Linked DNA regions of Macaca mulatta. The protein of the gene in region 3 interacts with the protein of the main gene of each other region in a pairwise test. Links are inferred from orthologs where the notes say so. Each region holds a gene or a part of one and is shown on either strand. Other genes may lie near its edges.

What was found. The genes of interacting proteins can lie anywhere in the genome.
Region 1: the proteins of FKBP1B (region 3) and REL interact in binary tests that used the Homo sapiens proteins (3 or more experiments, as listed by UniProt). The two-hybrid records come from large-scale screens. The link is inferred for Macaca mulatta from reciprocal best matches to the Homo sapiens genes FKBP1B and REL.
Region 2: the proteins of FKBP1B (region 3) and RYR2 interact in binary tests that used the Homo sapiens proteins (3 or more experiments, as listed by UniProt). The link is inferred for Macaca mulatta from reciprocal best matches to the Homo sapiens genes FKBP1B and RYR2.
Region 4: the proteins of FKBP1B (region 3) and TRIM69 interact in binary tests that used the Homo sapiens proteins (3 or more experiments, as listed by UniProt). The two-hybrid records come from large-scale screens. The link is inferred for Macaca mulatta from reciprocal best matches to the Homo sapiens genes FKBP1B and TRIM69.

The regions. Positions count from the first base shown.
Region 1 is NC_133418.1:63,861,419-63,866,135, forward strand, and holds part of REL (proto-oncogene c-Rel), read right to left. Parts: coding exon 4,653-4,717; intron 4,555-4,652; coding exon 4,342-4,554; intron 2,915-4,341; coding exon 2,846-2,914; intron 2,394-2,845; coding exon 2,325-2,393; intron 1,219-2,324; coding exon 446-1,218; 3' UTR 1-445. UniProt on the Homo sapiens protein: Proto-oncogene that may play a role in differentiation and lymphopoiesis.
Region 2 is NC_133406.1:11,499,445-11,504,161, reverse strand, and holds part of RYR2 (ryanodine receptor 2), read left to right. Parts: intron 1-1,418; coding exon 1,419-1,627; intron 1,628-2,249; coding exon 2,250-2,602; intron 2,603-3,226; coding exon 3,227-3,341; intron 3,342-4,717. UniProt on the Homo sapiens protein: Cytosolic calcium-activated calcium channel that mediates the release of Ca(2+) from the sarcoplasmic reticulum into the cytosol and thereby plays a key role in triggering cardiac muscle contraction. Aberrant channel activation can lead to cardiac arrhythmia.
Region 3 is NC_133418.1:100,990,209-100,995,540, reverse strand, and holds the start of FKBP1B (peptidyl-prolyl cis-trans isomerase FKBP1B), read left to right. Parts: upstream 1-2,049; 5' UTR 2,050-2,187; coding exon 2,188-2,224; intron 2,225-5,332. UniProt on the Homo sapiens protein: Has the potential to contribute to the immunosuppressive and toxic effects of FK506 and rapamycin. PPIases accelerate the folding of proteins. It catalyzes the cis-trans isomerization of proline imidic peptide bonds in oligopeptides.
Region 4 is NC_133412.1:22,160,642-22,165,358, forward strand, and holds part of TRIM69 (E3 ubiquitin-protein ligase TRIM69), read left to right. Parts: intron 1-1,133; coding exon 1,134-1,607; intron 1,608-2,602; coding exon 2,603-2,698; intron 2,699-4,717.

The sequences.
Region 1 (4,717 bases), about 37 Mb from region 3:
CTCCGCTTCCTGGGTTCAAGCAATTATTGTGCCTCAGGCTCCCAAGTAGCTGACAGTACAGGTGCGTACCACCATGCTCAGCTAATTTTTGTATTTTTAGTAGAGACGGGGTTTCACCATGTTGGCCAGGCTGGTCTCGAATTCCTGGTCTCAAGTGATCCACCCGCCTCGGCCTCCCAGAGTGCTAGGATTACAGGCGTGAGGTCCTGCACCTGGCCTCTGAGTTGTCCTTTTATGACAGCTTCCAATTTTGTATTCACTATGTCCAAAGTTGTATGCTTCTTCCCTGAAAAAAGTTTTTTATATTCTCAAATACAGTATTATTCTTCTCAGTCAGTATTATATATACAGTATAAATACAGTATTATATTCCCAGTTAGACAAATACAAAACGCTGCATCTATACAGGTGGTATCAAGATTTAAAAGGATTTAAATCTTGCAAGTTATACTTGAAAAAATTCATATGGAAAAGAGTCACTCAATTGCTCATTTTGCATACTGCCAATACCTGAATACTGACTATCTTGAACAAAACTATGACTGTTTGGATTAGTACTGTTTGATGGGCCCGACTCATTTATCATGCTGTTATCTGCACAACTGAAGTCAGATCCCTCAAATGCATCTGATTGTGAAACAAAAACAGTAGTATTGGAATTGGCACCTGCCGACATACTGGAAGAGGACATCTGATGGAGCTGTCTCAAGTCTCTTGGGTCTAACACTGAATTACATGAGGGGTTTTCAAGATTCATGCTCAGAAGTCTTGGATTATCCGTCTCTTCCATGCTATCATTGCTGGTTGCCATCATATTCACAGAACAATTAGACAGCATGTTGTGATCAGAAATACCATATAAGTCTGCTGGTGGCATGGATGACGCTTCCATTCCAACTATGTCATCGGCATTGTTATAAATGCAAGCGTTAGAAGCATTTAAATCATTCCCAATAGGTATTCTCAGGAATGGTGGGATACCTTGCGAATTAGAAGGAAGTGTCCCTGTTGAAAAACTACTCAGTGGGTTTGTATTGCCTGAGCGTGGGGTGGGGTGGGCCACTGATGACCAGCTTGAAGAAGGAAGAGGTGTCATTGAGGCATGATGTGACAATCCACTTGAGATGGGCCCAGGTGAGGGATAGTAGGATTCTGCTTGACTTGAAACCCCTGTAGGCATTTCTCTCACAACTGCATCATGAGAAAACAAGTTTGGTTCTGTGGGAGGAAAAATTTGTTTTACAAAATTAAAAGGAACAAAATTATAAAAAGTATTTCTAAATTAAAATTGCATAAGCACACAAATATATATAAAGAAAAATGTCAGGGAAACCAATGTAACATTTCAAATAAAAAAGTGTTAAAAGCACTAAAATTATTACACGAATCCAAAATGAAATTCTGTAACATACATACCATTTTACAAATACAGGTAAAATGATTTTTGCAAGTTACTTTGGCATATGTAATGTCACTCCAGTTAAATATGAAAATCTAGTTTCTGAGGCTCTATAAAGGTATTTTTGAAAACTAAAAGATAAATATTAGAATTACAATTAATGGGACTCCAAATAGCCAAAATCATCTCTTAGGAGAAAATGGAAGGATGGAGAAAACACTCATTAGGGATAAGAAAATACATACAACTTTTAAGATATATTACGACAGAACCCTAAGAGACTATAAAATTCACAGTCAGAAAAAATTACAGAAAAAATTAATTCTGTATTTATTTACATATTATACAAATGCTTTATGAACTAAACCAGGAAAAAGCACTGATTTAAGAATGTACATGGGGGAAAAAGACTTCTAATTAGCCCTTGGTTGAATTATCTAAACTAGGAATTGGTAATTTTTTTTTTCTGTAAAAAGTCAGATTGTAAATATTTTAGGCTTTGTGAGCTATATACAGCCTCTGTTCGAACTATTCAACCCTGTTACCATAGTGTTATAAAAAAAAAAGCAGTTTAGAGATAATATTTAATCAAATATTCATAGCCATGTTCCAGTAAAATTTTATTTATAAAAATAGGTAACTAACCAAATCAATAACATTTTTTTCCATGACGCAATGTAACTAATAAAATCACTACCATATGAATGACATGTAATTTCTTGAACAATAAATTCCAAAAACACGATTGGTTTCTAACACAACCTTCAGAAGTCATGCTTAATTTATTCTATACTGAAAGCATGAAAAATTTGGAGAGAAAATTTTCAAAGAAGCAGTTATTCATTCCTAAAAACAGAATTCCAATATATTGTGCACAGCACTGGTCTTTCTGATCACAAGAAATATGCTATAGGAAATAAAATACCTTTTTTGAAGTATCTTCCTTCTCCAATTGAACCGAGGAGACCAGGTCTTGGTCTCTCAGGAAAATTAACTGTTAGGATAAAGTTTTTCCATTATTAAATGGCATCTGAAAAATAACATTATCAGTTAAAATCTGAAAAACTGGCAGGGAGTGGTGGCTCCCACCTGCACTTTGGGAGGCCGAGGTGGGTGGATCACCTGAGGTCAGGAGTTCAAGACCATCCTGGTCAACAAGGCAAAACCCCGTTTCTACTAAAAATACAAAAATTAGCCGGGTGTGGTGGCACACACCTGTAATCTCAGTTACCCGGAAGGCTGAGGCAGAATTGTTGAACCTGCAAGGGGAGAGGTTGCAGTGAGTTGAGACTGCCCCACCGCACTCCAGCCTGGGTGACAGACAGAGACGCTGTCTCAAAAAACAAACAAAAACAAAACAAAACAAAAATAATAAAATTTGAAAAACTGAATACAGTAAATAAAACAAAACCTATTTAAATATGAATCGATCCAAAATATTCTTACCGTGATCCTGGCACAGTTTCTGGAAAAGCAGAGTTGTCTTTTGTTTCTTTGCTTTATTGCCATAAGTATCTGATTAGAAAGAAACCAGGAAAGCAGACAAAAAATTATAGGATTGTTTCCTCTCCTTTAATAAACAAATATTTTATTCACATATAGAAAATGTTTTCAATAAATACATATGTAATTCAGATTAAATAAGTATTATAGAATACGTCCCAAATCAGTAGTATCAGTAGAAAAGGATATTTTTCTCTTAGTAAAAAATTGTTTAAAGTAATCCCAGCACTTTGGGAGGCTGAGGCAGGTGGATCACTTGAGCCCAGGAGTTTGAGGCCAACCTGAGCAACATGGCAAAACCCTGTCTCCATAAAAAACAGAAAAACTGGCGGGGTGCAGTGGCTCATGCCTGCAATCCCAGCACTTTGGGAGGCTGAGGCAGGTGGATCACCTGAGTTCAGGAGCTTGAGACCAGCTTGGCCAACATGGTGAAACCCCATCTCTACTAAAAATAATACAAAATTAGTTGGGTGTGGTGGCACATGCCAGTAGTCCCAGCTAATCAGGAGGCTGAGACAGGAGAACTGCTTGAACCCAAGAGGCAGAGGCTGCAGTGAGCCGGGATTACGTCACTGTACTCCAGCCTGGGCAAGACAGAGTGAGACTCCATCTCAAAACAAAAAAACAAAAAAATCCCACCAAAATTAGCCAGGTGTGGTGGTGTGCACCTGTAGTCCCAGGTACTCAGGAGGCTGAGGTGGGATGATCACCTGAGCACAGGAGGTTGAAGTTCTGGTAAACCATGATCATGCCACTGTACTCCAGCTTGAGTGACAGAGTGAGACCCTGTCTCAAAAAAACCCAAAACAAACTGTTCAAAATATTCATCTTGTTTTCTTATCACACAAGTCAGTAATGTCAACTAGTGCAATAAGGTTTGATAAGAAACCAATATAGAGACTATTCTCTGAGTGGTAAGTGCACAAGGACTAAAATAGACCTTCAAAAATAAAACAGAAATTTTAGTAAGCAGTTTAGATACTTTGAAATTATTCCATCCTAATCAAACCTCTTTCTGAAGAAAGAGATGCAGAGACAAGTCTAGCCAACATGGTGAAACCCTGGCTCTACTAAAACTACAAAAGTAGCCTGGCGTGGTGGCACGTGCCTGTATAGTCCCAGCTACTCGGGAGGCTGAGGCAGGAGAATCGCTTGAACCCGGGAGGTGGGGGTTGCAGTGAGCTAAGATTGTGCCACTGCACTCTAGCCTGGGTGACAGTGAGACTCTGTCTCAAAGAAAAACGAAAAACAAAAAAACAAAACAAAACCAAAAAAACAAAGAAATGCAAAGAGCATAAAGAAAAAACCCAACAGAAAGCTTCCAGGAAAAGAAACATAAATTGTGAATATACATAACTGTACTCAAATGAATCTTACAAGATGTTATTAGCAGGACCACTTTAAGAAATATATAAATTATCACCAGCAAAATGTCATACCTTTTTCATCTGGCAGATATCTAAAATCCATAGATTCACTAACTTCCTGGTCAGAAGGTCTCCGCAACTGCATTTTTACTGTTACGGGTTCTGTGATAGCTTTGCAATATGGCGGAGTTTTGAAAACAATGGCTACTTGACGGTGTACATCAGCTTGTGAAAAGATGCCTTTTGCTTCCCAATCGTTCAACACAAAACGAACTTCTATGTCATCTAGTGAATAAGAAACCAAAAAAATAATAATGGGAAAACAAAGTAACTGCATCTATTAATCTAAAATTTATTCTAAATTCAATGAAATAAATAAATACCTTTCTGAACTTTGTCGCAAAGTAGAAATATTTCATCTCCTCCTCTGACACTTCCACAATTCTTG
Region 2 (4,717 bases), on a different chromosome or scaffold from region 3:
CCGATCATTAAAAAGTCAGGAAACAACAGGTGCTGGAGAGGATGTGGAGAAATAGGAACATTTTTACACTGTTGGTGGGACTGTAAACTAGTTCAACCATTGTGGAAGACGGTGTGGTGAATCCTCAAGGATCTAGACTAGAAATACCATTTGACCCAGCCATCCCATTACTGAGTATATACCCAACAGATTATAAATCATGCTGCTGTAAAGACACATGCACACGTATGTTTATTGCAGCACTATTCACAATAGCAAAGACTTGGAACCAACCCAGATGTCCATCAGTGACATATTGAATTAAGAAAATGTGGCACATATACACCATGGAATACTATGCAGCCATAGAAAAGGATGAGTTCGTGTCCTTTGTAGAGACATGGATGCAGCTGGAAACCATCATTCTCAGCAAACTATCGCAAGGACAGAAAACCAAACACCGCACGTTCTCACTCATAGGTGGGAATTGAACAATGAGATCACTTGGACATAGTAAGGGGAACATCACACACTGGGGCCGGTTGTGGGGTGGGGGAGGGGTGAAGGATAGCATTAGGAGATATACCTAATGTAAATGAGTAGTTAATGGGTGCAGCACACCAACATGGCACATGTATACGTATGTAACCTGCACATTGTGCACATGTACCCTAGAACATAAAGCATAATTTAAAAAAAGAAATATTTTATTGGTTTTTGCTCTATTGCTCATTGCTATTACATCTAAATAAAAGATTATATATATAATTTATGCATTATAAATATATCTCATGCATAAATACATGCTTCATACATTAAACATGTATTTTTCCCCCATGCTTAGATCCAGTTTATTCCAGAAAAAAAAAAGCCAAAATTTTCTTCAAAGATCAAAAGCAACTATCAGTAGATGGAAAACTTTAAAATTTTTTCCTCCAATTTTTTTTTTTCTTGAGCTATGTATGAAGAAATCTATAGCTCAGACTGTGTCTGGTGTTAGTACGTATCAAGCTCTTTAGCCAGAAGGAAGAGCAAGGCCAATGAACCACATCCCTGGTACTTAGTTTCTTCTCACTTTCCCTGTATGAGAGAGTGCATGCACTGCTCAGCAAGGAGACTGCAGGGCAGGGATCTCTAGAATCCCCGGAGGACCAGGGGCTGCAGAGCAGTTACTTTGTCTTACAGAATGAAGTCTGAGATGAGAGAAGGGATTTATCTAGGGCCCACAGCTAGTAAATTATAATGTCAAGATCAAATCCTGGTTTTCTCACCCTTACAGGTAATATTTAATGTCATTGTTCCCTTTATTACACTACTTTTTTCACCCTAGGGTGACAGCTCTCTCAAAGTTCAGTCCTGGAACAGTATGTGTGATAATTCCATACTAACAGGATCATATAGTAATGGTACTAAAGCTTTTAATTTTTTTTTCTTCCCAGGATTCATACCTGTGTGTAGCCTTGGAGTGGCTCAAGTGGGCAGGATGAACTTTGGAAAGGATGTCAGCACCTTGAAATACTTCACCATCTGTGGCTTACAAGAGGGCTATGAACCATTTGCCGTTAATACAAACAGGGATATTACTATGTGGCTGAGCAAGAGGCTTCCTCAGTTTCTCCAAGTTCCATCAAACCATGAACATATAGAGGTTTGCTTTTTCTTTCAAAATCAGGTCATTTCTAAAAAGCAGGAAAAGAATATCTTTATACATAGGAACTTCTGCTTAGACAATTATTGTGACTTACTTAAAATGATGACCTTACACAGAAGTGGAATCTAAGCAAAGATGGCACTTTATACCAGCTGTCAGTGGATGGGAAACTTAAATTTTTGCTTTCAATTCTTTTTTTTCCCTTGAGCTATGTGTGAAGAAGTCTGTAGCTCAGACTGTGTGTGGGGTTTGTACGCATCAAGGTCTTTAGTTAGAAGAAAGATCAAGGCAAAGGGAGCCACATCCATTCTAATAAGCTACGTTACAAGAAGCTTATTAGAATGAGGAAAAATACTTTCCTTTTTATGTGTGGGCAATGTCAGGCCGAATCTGAATATATAGAATTATAAGATAAATTTCCGAAACCGTCTTTAGAGACAGAAGCAGAACTCTATGACTATATCCATAGCACAGTAATCTGTTTAATTATCTCTTACAAAATGATGCCATGCGTGGACTGATTTGGGATTCTGAAAACGTGATGTGCCTTAGGCATCTTTAGAATCAGGAAATCGACAACGGTGATTGGAATATGACCTATTGCTTCTTCATTTGCTAGGTGACCAGAATAGACGGCACCATAGACAGTTCCCCATGTTTAAAGGTCACTCAGAAGTCTTTTGGTTCTCAGAACAGCCACACTGATATCATGTTCTATCGCCTGAGCATGCCGATCGAGTGCGCGGAGGTCTTCTCCAAGACTGTGGCTGGAGGGCTCCCTGGGGCTGGCCTTTTTGGGCCCAAGAATGATTTGGAAGATTATGATGCTGATTCTGACTTTGAGGTTCTGATGAAGACAGCTCATGGCCATCTAGTGCCCGATCGTGTTGACAAAGACAAAGAAGCTACCAAGCCAGAGTTTAATAACCACAAAGATTATGCCCAGGAAAAGCCCTCTCGTCTGAAACAAAGGTTACTATTTTATACACTGTGATTTTAAGTTTGTAGTTAAGTGAGGAGGGTTACAGTCCAGAGTAAAGGGTCTCCTAGTGTAAGGTTTTTCCTCCCCCTCCTCCTCCTCCCCCTCCCCCTCCTCTTTGTGCAAAGGATTCTATAAGGAAAAATTAAGCAACCTGTTAGTCATCTAATTTGTTAGCGTAGATGCTATCTATCTCAATAGTTATTTTTTAAGATGTCTATGTTTACATTCTTGCCTGAAACTTGCAGAGTATTTTCTCCAAATAGTATTTTTTTATGATAAAGGCGGCAAGTTATTTTAACATCCTTTCTTATACTAAATCAGATTTTCTCAGTCTCAGCACTATCGACAGTTTAGGCCAGACAATTCTTTGTTGAGGAAACACCTTGGGCACTGAAGGATGCTGAGCAGCATCCTGACCTCCACCCACTAGATGCCAGTAGCACTCCATCCCCCACACTGTGAGAACCGAAAACATATATCTCCAGATATTCCCAGATGTCCCCCAGGGAGCAAAATCGCCCAGGTTTAAGGCAACTCAATTGATTCTATGCTCATATTTGAAGTAGACAGAACATTTTAATGTTGCTTATTGTTAGTCCTCTAAAATATTTCAGATTTTTGCTTAGAAGAACAAAGCCAGATTACAGCACGAGCCATTCTGCAAGACTCACCGAAGATGTCCTTGCTGATGATCGGGATGATTATGATTTCTTGATGCAAACGTCCACGGTATGAGGTTGCAGCTTTTGTCATTTATTTCTATTTGTCACTCATTATGCTTTACATCTCAAATAACACATACTGATTCATCATACTTAGTAATATTATTTTTTAAATGTCTGTTTCTATTTTGGGATATATTTTGGGGACTGAAAGTTTGAAAAAAGTTTATGTATTATGATAGATATTATGCAATAAAAGAGCTATTTTAGGAAAAATATTTTTAATGGCATGCATAATCTTAATTTTGCTATTCTGTTTCTTGACAAAATTTTAAGTTGCCCTTGAATTTTTCAACTACTTTCTTCATCTTACTGAATTGTCTAAAGGAAGATCAATTATCATAATTTGTGAGAGGTCAAGCTTTTGCACTCTTCCATTTTAAATTCTCAAGGCTGCTTCTCCTAAAATGCTACATTGAAAAAATATTTAGTTGTGTTCATTGTAGAGTGCTCCCATATTTTAGTTTGATGTTCACATGTTCTGAACTATTTCAAAATGAGTTTAGGCTGGGCACAGTGGCTCAAGCCTGTAATCCCAGTACTTTGGGAGGCTGAGGTGGATGGATCACCTGAGGTCAGGCGTTCGAGACCAGCCTGGCCAGCATGGTGAAACCCTGTCTCTATTAAAAATATAAAAATTAGGGGAGTGTGGTGGTGGGCACCTGTAATCCCAGCTACTAGGGAGGCTGAGGCAGGAGAATTGCTTGATCCCAGGAGATGGAGGTTGCAGTGAGCCGACACGGTGTCGCTGCACTGCAGCCTGGGCGACAGAGTGAGACTCCGTCTCAAAAAAAAAACCAGTGAATTTAAAGTGTCAAAATGTTATATGTCAGAGAAAGGAAAGGCCAAGAATGTGCAAAAAGGTGGGTGACAAGTATAAAAACCCAAACATTGGCCAGGTGCACTGACTCATGCCTGTAATCCCAGCACTTTGGGAGGCCAAGGCAGGTGGATCACCTGAGGTGAGGAGTTCGAGAACAGCCTGGCTAACATGGTGAAACCCTGACTTTACTTAAAATATAAAGATTAACTGGGTGTGGTTGTGCACACCTGTAGTCCCGGCTACTTGGGAGACTGAGGCAGGAGACTCTCTTGCACCCGGGAGGCAGAGGCTTCCGTGAGCTGAGATCACACCACTACACCCCAGCCTGGGTGACGGAGTGAGAGTCTATCTCAAAAAAAAAAAAAAAAAAAGTGAGCATAGATTTGTATACATGTATAAGCTTGAAGAATTTGAAGCTTCCCTATGCTTAATGGATTCATTATTTTATTACATATACTGTATATATATGTACATGTATATATGTATGTGTATATATTACACACATGTAGCACACACACACACATGCTCACCAGCATAAAAAGACTTAAATCATTTAGCAC
Region 3 (5,332 bases):
AGGAGTCCAGGAGCCCTAGGATCAACACGGCTTCTTAACCTTTAAAATCTGATAAAATCTGTCCAGGAAAATGTTCTTATCTGTACACAAAATATTGTGCATTCATCTGAAGTCGCTTCATGGGCCTGTCCCAGCTACAAATCCCTGTTCTACGCCCACCCTAAGTGTGCCTGCTCTGGCCACAGCCTGTGGAGTTAGTGCATCCCTTAGGCTTCTTTAGACCAGCCACACGCTTGGAAGACTGGGCCACATCTCGGAGCAGCGCATGAGGAATTCCAGGTCCTGACCTTCACAGTACAGTTGACCATCATCTTTCTTGAACAACACAGCCAGTCCACCTTCAGGGATGCAGACAACCTCATCTGGGATCTAAGCATCCGGGAGAGTGGGGATGGGGAAATGGAGGAAGAACACCCTTGGGGTTCATTCTGGGCCCGTTTGCCAGGCTTTTCTCCCCATGCCTATCTTCCAGTGCCACTTAGCAGAATCATACCTTCACATCAGTTTTTATGTTTTTCTTTTTCTTTTCTTTTCTTTTTTTAAAAATAAAGATGGCGTGCCTGTAATCCCAGCACTTTGGGAGGCGAGGCGGGCGGATAACCTGAGATCCGCAGTTCAAGACCAGCCTGGCCAACATGGTGAAACCCGGTCTCTACTAAAAATTTAAAAATTAGCCGGACGCTGGTAGCTCACGCCTGTAATCCCAGCTACTTGGGAGGCTGAGGCACGAGAATCGCTTGAACTCGGGAGGCGGAGGTTGCAGTGAGCCGAGATTGTGCCACTGCATTCCAGCCTGGCGACAGAGTGAAGATTCTGTCTCAAAAAAAAAGAGAGAGAGAGAGAGAGAGGGACGGGATCTTGCTATGTTACCCAGGCTAGTCTTGAACTCCTGGGCTCAAGCAATCCTCCTGCCTCGGTCTCCCACAGTGTTGAGATTACAGGTGTGAGCCATTGTTCCAAAAATTGATATGCCCGGCCTCACATCAATTTTTGGAACAATGCAGGTAATAACGAGCGGAAAAAAAAGTTTTAAAAGTCCCAATTACCCTTCAAACAAATATTACCTCCTCCAAAAAATATTTTTCTAGATTCCTGATTGTCTTTTTAGGTGGAGGAGGAACTCAAAGTAGAATTCATTTACATATTCATTCATTCATTCCACAGCACTAATCACTCCATGCGGTAACTCTGTGTCCCCATCTCTCTCAGATTTAGTACCTGGAAAACAGCCATTCTGTCTTAATTCAATTGGTATCCCCAGGGCGCATTTCTTTGCCTTGAAAATTGAGTACCCAACAAATGTGCGTCGAGCAAAACTACATGAGATGGCGAACAGGGGTTTAAGGGTATGGGGGAGAGTCAGCAATGACTGGTGTTCTCCCTCCCTCCCCGAGCTCTGCTCCTAAAGATCCAGGACGCCTAGCGAGGGTAGGAACCTCTTCGGTGCTTCCGCAACGCTCTGAACAGCACGGCACTGAGCGCATCTAATTAAAGTGATGGTTTCATTAGATAGCAACTCAGCGAGACCCTGTTTCTACAAAAAATAAAAAATTAGCTGGGCGTGGTTGCTCGAGCCTCTAGTCCCAGCTACTTGGGAGACTGAGGCAGAAGGATCGCTTGAGCCTAAGAGTTCGAGGTTGCTGTGAGCTATGATCGCGCCACTGGGCTCCAGCCTGGGCGACAGAGCAAGATCCTCTCTCTCTAAAAAAAAAAAAAAACAAAAATAAAATAATGGTTTAATTGCCGGCCTTTGCCCCTTCTGCCCCCCACCCCCCACAAGTCTGTAGGACCGGGTTGACTTCCCAGAGCTTAGTACAGATTAGATGCTAAATAAATGTGTGTTGGACGGATGGGCGAATGAATGGATGGATGGAGGATGTGGTTGTGCTTACCATGCTTCCCGGTCAGCGGGTTAATGTCGTCAGGAGGGGCCAGGCTCGCTAACAGCCGGGCGGGGTCCCTTCCCCCGGGCCCCGCCCCGGCCGACCCCACCTTTCCGCGCGGCTCCGCCCCGCCGCCCCCTTCCCAGTGGCCCCTCCCCGCGCAGGTCCCGACTCCAGCCGCACCTCCTCTGGCTCTGCAGTGGCGGCGGGGAGGCGAGCCGGAGCGACTGCGGGGCCGGGACCGGAGCAGAGCCGGGGTCGGGCAGCAGCAGGGACCCCCGGAGGCGGGGCCTGTGGGACCGCTATGGGCGTGGAGATCGAGACCATCTCCCCCGGAGACGGTACCGGGCTCCCTCCGGAGCCGGGGGAGGGGAGGGGTCCCCGGGCGGAGCCCGGAGGGCGGGGGTCTGATTCGGAGGTGGCGCGGAGGGTGCTGAAGGGTCGGGGGGCTGGATGCGGAGGGCAGGCGGAGACCCCGGACGGGATTCTTGGGGGTCTAGGAGACCATCCTCCACCATCCTCTTCCGCGACTCACCTAGGGGAATGTAGGTGGCAGCCTGGAGGCGGGGGTCTGCGGCCCGGAGCCGGGGGTCTGCGGCCCACCACCCCGGGCTGCTCCTGTCGCCGCTGCTACCGTTCGGTTATCCGCTGCTGCTGATACCCCAGGCTGGGTTTCGGCTTAGCTTTCCCTGCCCTGCTCGGCGAGCTCTGGAAAGCAGGACCTGCTCTCGGGTCTCCGCTGCTCCGGGACCTCCTCCTAGCGCGTCCCCCGCCGGGCCTCCTGTCGGTCGCTTCCCTGTGGGCCGGGCTGTGAGCGGCTGTGGGGACAGACCCAGGCTGGGAAAGGGGGAAGCGCTCCCTTGCCGGCTTCCGGATCTCGCTTTATCCTCCCGCCGCGTTCAGACTCCCTGGCCACCCTGTCCACTCCCATGGCCTCCACATTGAAGCTTCTAAGCCCAGCCCTGCGACCTGCGGCCGGACCTCTCCCTGGAGGTCCCAAGGTGCTCCCTAGTCAGCAAATCCAAAACAGAACTTGCGCTTCCCACCTTCTCCCCTAAGTGATCCTCCTCATCCCCCTTCCTTATCTCACTTTCCCAAGCCCTTGTATTACTGGGTCTGGGTGTGCAAGGAATAGCCATTTCTTTATTTCTTGAAATTTAATTCATACCAAAGCTCCCATTGTCTGCAGGGTTTGATGGGCAAACTTCATATCAGATATTATTAATATGAACAGCTCCCCTGCCCAGGAAATTGGAGAACTTCTTGGCTCCAGGCCATGCTCCTTGTCCAATCCCAACCACTACTTTGGATATCCCCTGGGGTACAGGATTCTTTGCCCACGCAGGAAACCTTGATGCTGGGTCCCAGAAAGCGTCTCCCTGAGGCCTTTTCATCCCCCAGCAGCCACTGAGCTAATCTCCCCATCTTCAGCCTCTCCTCCCTGCCTTCAATCTCATCCCCAATCTCATATTCACTCCCTTTCTACATCATAGCCTGAAGACTCTTCTTAAAATGTGGTGGCTCATGCCTGTAATCCCACCACTTTGGGAGGCCGAGGCGGGTGGATCACAAGGTCAGGAGTTCAAGACCAGCCTGACCAACATGGTGAAACCTGTCTCTACTAAAAATACAAAAATTAGCTAGGCGTGGTGGTGCATGCCTGTAATCCCAGCTACTGGGGAGGCTGAGGCAGGAGAATGGCTTGAACCCAGGAGGCAGAGGTTGCAGTGAGCCGATTGTGCCACTGCACTCCAGCCTGGGTGACAGAGCGAGACTCGTCTCAAAAATAAGAAGAAGAAGAAGAAAACAAATGCATATTTGACCATGCCCCTCCCTCAGGTAGAAGATGTTTTAAATGATTCTTCCCTCTCCCCCAGGCAGAGGGGCCTTTGGTGCTGTGGTCTATTCTCATCTTCCACACTAGAGCTTCATCTCTCACCACCTGTCCTGAGCCCACCACCAACTTTTTCTCCAGCTTTCCCAAGCTGCCTGCAAGTTGTCGAACACACCACTCATTCAGCAAATATTTATTGAACGTGTGTGCTAGGCCCTAAGGTGACAGCGTTGAAACAGACAGGGTCCCCGCTATTGCTGGACTGAAGGCCTTTGAACATGTTACATGTCATTCCCTCTTCCCAGATGGTGTTTTTTTACTTCCTCTGGCAAATTCTTACTTGTCTTTCAAGACCTGGCTTCGCCATTCTCTCCTCTATGATATTTTCCTTGACTTCTGCAGTCAGTTAGCTGCTCCCTCCTCCAGGCTCCCATAAAGTCCTCTAAATGTTGGCTCTGTGGTTAGCCTTCCTTAGGCTTTGTTATCTAGCCCCATAGCTTTAAATTCCAGCCAAATTTATATCTCCAGTGCAGACTCTTCATCTGCCTACTTGCAATATAAACTCAGATGTCTAATAGGCATCTCAAGATTGCCACCCGCACAAATCTGTTCCTCCTGTCTTCCCTATCTCAGGAAATAGTTCCACTATTCATCCAGTTGCCCAAACAGAAAACCCAAGCATCGTTCTTGTTGTCTCCTTTGTCCTCATCCTGGACCCCATTTCCAATTTGATTGCATGCCCTGTCAGCTCTGCTTCCAAAATATGTCTCCAGTCTATTTCACTCTCTTCTCTGCTGCCACCACCTTAAATCAAGCTATCATTGATTTCTTGTCTGGATTATTGCAACAGACGCCTTACTGTCCATCCTACACATAGCAGTCAGAGTGATGTTATAAAATCTTAATTCGGATTATGTCATTCTCTGGCTTAAAACCCTCCAGTGGTTTCCTATTGCACTTAGTATGAAATCCGGCTCTGCAAGCCCTGTATGATCCATCTCCTTCCCACCTCTGTCCTCCCTCCCTTCTTTCCACTTAACCTCCTTGCTCGCTGCAAATGGATTGATTCTGTGCACTTGTTACTCCTTCCCCAAGTGCTAATTCCCAGTATTTTGCTCATCCTTCAAGTCCTAGCTCCAGGGGCACCTTCTTCAAGAGGCCATCCTGGACCACTCTGTCTGAAATGGTCTGTCCCACTGCATCTCCCTTTAATACATCATTGTGTGTGTTTTCTTTAGAGTATTCATCATAATCCATAATCGTTTTGCATATTTAAGTATTGTCTCTGTCCATTAGAATATAAAGTCCATGGCAGGTGTGGTGGCTCATGCCTATAATCTCAACACTTTGGGAGGTTGAGATGGTAGGAGCTCTTGAGCCCAGGAGTTCAAGGCCAGCCTGGACAACATGTCAAGACCCTGTCTCTACAAAATTTTTTTTTTTTAATTAGCTGGGCATGGCAGCATGCACTTGCAGTCCCAGCTACTCAGAAAGCAGAGGCAGAAAGATTGCTTGAGCCCATGAGGTCAAGGCTGCACTGAGCCAAGATCATGCTATTGCACTCCAGCCTGGGTGACACACTGAGACCCCTACTCTTACAAAAAAAAAAAAGTAA
Region 4 (4,717 bases), on a different chromosome or scaffold from region 3:
AATTAATGCCAACTTAGTTTTAATAGTACAAGGCAAAAATTTTTACTATAAAAACTGCTCCTTTTCAGCTCTGTTCTCTCCTTTTTGTTGTTATTATCACAAATTATCTCTTTACACATTGCATATCCATTAACACACATAACTATTGTTTTGTGCGTTTGTCTTTTAAATTGAATAGGGGAAAAAGAGGAGTTAGAAACCAAAAACTGCATTATTGGACTTTACCTATGTAGCTACTTTTTCACTGGTCTCTACTTATTTATATGACTTTGAGGTACTTCCTAGTTTCCTTTCCCGAGTAGTTGGGACCACAGGTATGAGTCACTGCGCCAGCTTCTGTATTTATGTTTCTGAAATGTGTGTGGTTTTTTTTTTTTTTTTTTTTTTTTTTTTTGAGACAGAGTCTTGCTCTGTTGCCCAGGCTGGAGCGCAGTGGCACAATCTCGGCTCACTGAAAGCTCTGCCTCTGGGTTCATGCCATTCTCCTGCCTCGCCTCCTGAGTAGCTGGGACTACAGGCGCCCGCCACCATGCCTGGCTAATTTTTTATATTTTTAGTAGAGACTGGGTTTCACTTGTGTTAGCCAGGATGATCTCGATCTCCTGACCCCATGATCCGCCCACCTTGGCCTCCCAAAGTGCTAGGATTACAGGCGTGAGCCACCGCGCCCGGCCTGAAATGTGTTTTTTAAAAAGGAGTGAAGAGGACCCTGGATGGTTGATAATATAATACTACTGACTGAGAAATCTGATTGATTTTCCAATTCTTCATACATAATTTCTAGAAAACAAAAATAGAATAAAGGTAATAACTAGTAGAGCAGAAGCTGAAAATAAAACTTTCAACAGATACATGGGGAAAGTGGGTAAAGAGAGAGATGTACAACAAAGTACATTTCTTTGACTTAGTACTGTTTTTTCCTCTACTTTGATTCTTCATTAAAGTTTAAATAGCATCATATGCCATAATGTCAGAAAACACTCAATTTACTGGTTCACTTTCAAAGGACAGATTATGTGCTTTTACTTTAGTTGTACCAATTTTCAGCTCCTTTAGGAATGGAGCCCATCATCCTGGAGTGTTAAAATGGGCAAAAAGAAAGATAAACTCATTCTAGCTGTTCTTTTCTAAAGGTATCCTCCAACTCCTCCAACATCGATCCAGGCAACTATGTTGAAATTAACGATTCAATCGCCCACCTACCTTCTAAAGTGGTGATACAAGATATTACTATGGAGCTACACTGCCCACTGTGCAACGATTGGTTCCATGACCCACTGATGCTAAGCTGTGGCCACAACTTCTGTCAAGCCTGTATCCAAGACTTTTGGAGGCTGCAAGCAAAGGAAACATTCTGTCCTGACTGCAAGATGCTATGTCAGTATAGCAACTGTACATTCAACCTTGTACTGGACAAGTTGGTAGAGAAGATTAAGAAGTTACCCCTACTCAAGGGCCATCCACAGTGCCCAGAGCATGGAGAGAACCTGAAACTGTTCAGTAAACCAGATGGGAAACTGATCTGCTTTCAATGCAAGGATGCTCGGTTGTCTGTGGGGCAGTCTAAGGAGTTCCTGCAAATCTCTGATGCTGTCCATTTCTTCACGGTGGGTGAGCCCTGGGCCTTGAACAATCCCTTAGAAAAACTAGGAAAAATATTTTATAGGGCTTCTTCTTTCTTTGAACCCCATCCCTTTATTCAAATGATGATTAGAAAACCCAGACTGCTCAGAAAGTACAACGTATCTTGCAAAGTTCTTTTTCTAGAGTTGCTGCTTATAGGAAAGGAACAGTGGAGGAGCCCTGGCTTACTCCCTCAATTAAATCTGTACCTAAACTCTGCCATGGTAGCACTCTGCTAAACACTGTGTAGAACACGGATATATACGATATTGCTCTTATTATAAAAAAATTCAAAAATTGGTTAAGTTTAAAATGAAGAAAACAACAGAAACAATGTAAGATAGTCTACTATTAAAAGTTAAATTTTGTCACATTTGTAATTCTTAAGGGTTTAGAATTTCTGAAATGACTAGAGAAAGACGAAATTGTCAGGGGACATATAGTGAAAGAAAGGGAAAGGACTTGAACTGGGAAATCATTTGGATTTGGAAGGGCATAAGGAAGAAACAAGTGTTCCAAGTGAGAACAACACAAGTAAAATTATAGATTCTGAGAATAGCATATAACTAGAGTGGAAAATGTGTAAAGTTCTATTCCTTTCTTCGAACCCCTGTAGCTAGCTATTAAGAGAGAAAAACTAAGTTTTAAGCTGTAATTCTTTTTTTTTTTTTTTGAGATGGGGGTCTCACCATGTTGCCCAGGCTGGTCTCAAACTCCTAGACCCAAGTGATCCTCCCATCTCAGTCTCCCAAAGTGCTGAGATTACAGATGTGAGCTGCCACACCTGGCCTCTTTTTTTTTTTTTTTCTTTTCTTTTCCACAATTCTTGAACGAGACAAAAACTATGATACAAGGGAAGGGGAAGATTTTTGCAGCAAGAGCTTGCTTTTTTCTTGCACACTGGGGCCTTGGGGAAGATGTCGTTTATGGTCCTTCATCTCCTGAGTCAGTGTGGGTTAATTCTATTTGGTATTCCCAGGAGGAGCTTGCCATCCAACAGGGTCAACTGGAGACAACTCTGAAGGAGCTTCAGTCCCTGAGGAACATGCAGAAGGAAGCTATTGCTGCTCACAAGGTGAGGAGCAAGAAAGAGGGGTTATGAGATAGAACTGGAACACACCCTCCATGTAACTTCAGCTATGGGTACAAAGGTGCCTAACACATATTATCAACACACTAAATGGTACCTAGGCTATAGAATTGGAAAACTGAGACTGTAGGGTAGAAAGGAATATGGTGGTGGAGTAGGTTCCTAATAGCTGACCAACAGAGCAGATAAACCTTTCCCCTAATATGCTGATCTTTTTGATGGTTCAGTCACCAGGTGACTGTTGTGGGATTGAAATGTGTCTGGTCTTTGGCTTTATCTATGGCAAAAAAAAAAAAAGGAATTCATCAAAAAAAAAAAATCAATCACTAAAGATTGCTATGTCCAAAGAAATACCTTTATTTCCTTTGAGTTTATAACCAGACACCTCTGGACTAGGTCTCCAAGGTTGTAAGCTTTTTCCATCTGATTTGATCTTTCTTAGCTTCCTCCAAACTAAATAAAGCTATTGTCTTCACTTTCAACTTCATAGACACTCTAGGACAACATTAATGGCTAGAGATCTGGCAAAGCAGCCCCTAGGCTGGGGGTGCTGAATTGGACGTTCTGTTTCTTTATTCATTATTCTATGGAGAAGAGCCTTCTCAGGTATTTGGCATCTGGAAGAAAAAATATGTAGACTCAGGGAAAGAAGATGGATATACGGAAGTAATGGTGTCTCCAGAAAATCTTGTTCCTGTTGTAAAAGTTCCTATTGGTGTGAGCGTTCATTCATTCATTTAACAACTATTTATTGAGTGGGTCATAATACTAGATATTGGGGATGGGAGACAGCTGTTAATTAAACAGTCCCAACAGTAATAATAAAATAACAACTGTGATAAGTACTATAAATGAAAGTATAGGGTATGATGATAGCATATAAATGGAGAACATAATCTAGACTGGGGGGAGTTGTGTTCTCTGAAGAAGTCACTTATTAAAAATTGAGAATTGAAGGATAAGTAACTCACCCAAGTGAACTGGGTGAGTGGGAATATGAAGGAGATGGCCTGGAGAAGAATGTTCTAGGAATAGAAAACAGCATATGGAAAAGTCCTGAGACAGAAAGTTAGCTCCTATGTTAAACAGAGAAAAGGCCAATAAACCTGTAACATGCTAAGCAAGATGATATTGAAGAGGTGGATATGGGCTTACTGTAACCTCAAACTCTTGGGCTCAAGAAATCTTCCCACCTCAGCCTCCTGAGTATCTGGGACGAGTTTGCCACACCTGGCTAATTATTTTATTTTTGGAGAGACTGGGTCTCACTATGTTGCCCAGTCTTGAACTCCTGTTCTAAGCAATCCTCCCAGCTTGGCCTCCATAAGTGTTGTAATTACAGGTATGAGCCACTGTGCCCAGCCAAGACTATCTTAAGGGTGCAATAATAATTATGGACCATGGAATCCAAGCTAGATAAGAGAGGACATGAAGGTAGAAATTCCTGAATAGAAATGGAGGGATCGGTGAATAGGAGGTTTCAATGAGATCCAATAATTGTTGCAATAGGAGTGTCTGAGTGGGCCTGGTGCATAAAAAGTTATTTTGGAGATGATGCAATTGCTGGGGGTGATGAAATCCTAGGTGAGACTATAGGAATGAATCAATAAATGTGGAAATCACTAGACATGAGGAGAATGAGGAACTGAGAAGCCAGGATGTCAAATAGTTTACCTGTGAGGATGTTGAGTTCACTCAAGGAAAAAGATGCAAGTGTAACAGTGGCATTCCCCAAGTTCTGATTTCTGGATAAGGACAGTTCTTCCAGCCTCCCAATACCCCCAGTCTAACAGTACCACTTGGAAGCTTTTGGTTTACCAATCTAGGAGGGTATTATCATTCATTCTAGAATGTTTGATTAACTCCACAGTCTTATTTAATATGGCATTGGTTACCATCTGAGTACTGCAATAGGAGTCACTTTTGCAAAAGAGGTGACTTTTGCCTATTTCATCCTGAACTACTCAATTAGTTGGAAAAGGAATAAGTCTCCCAAAGGACTCA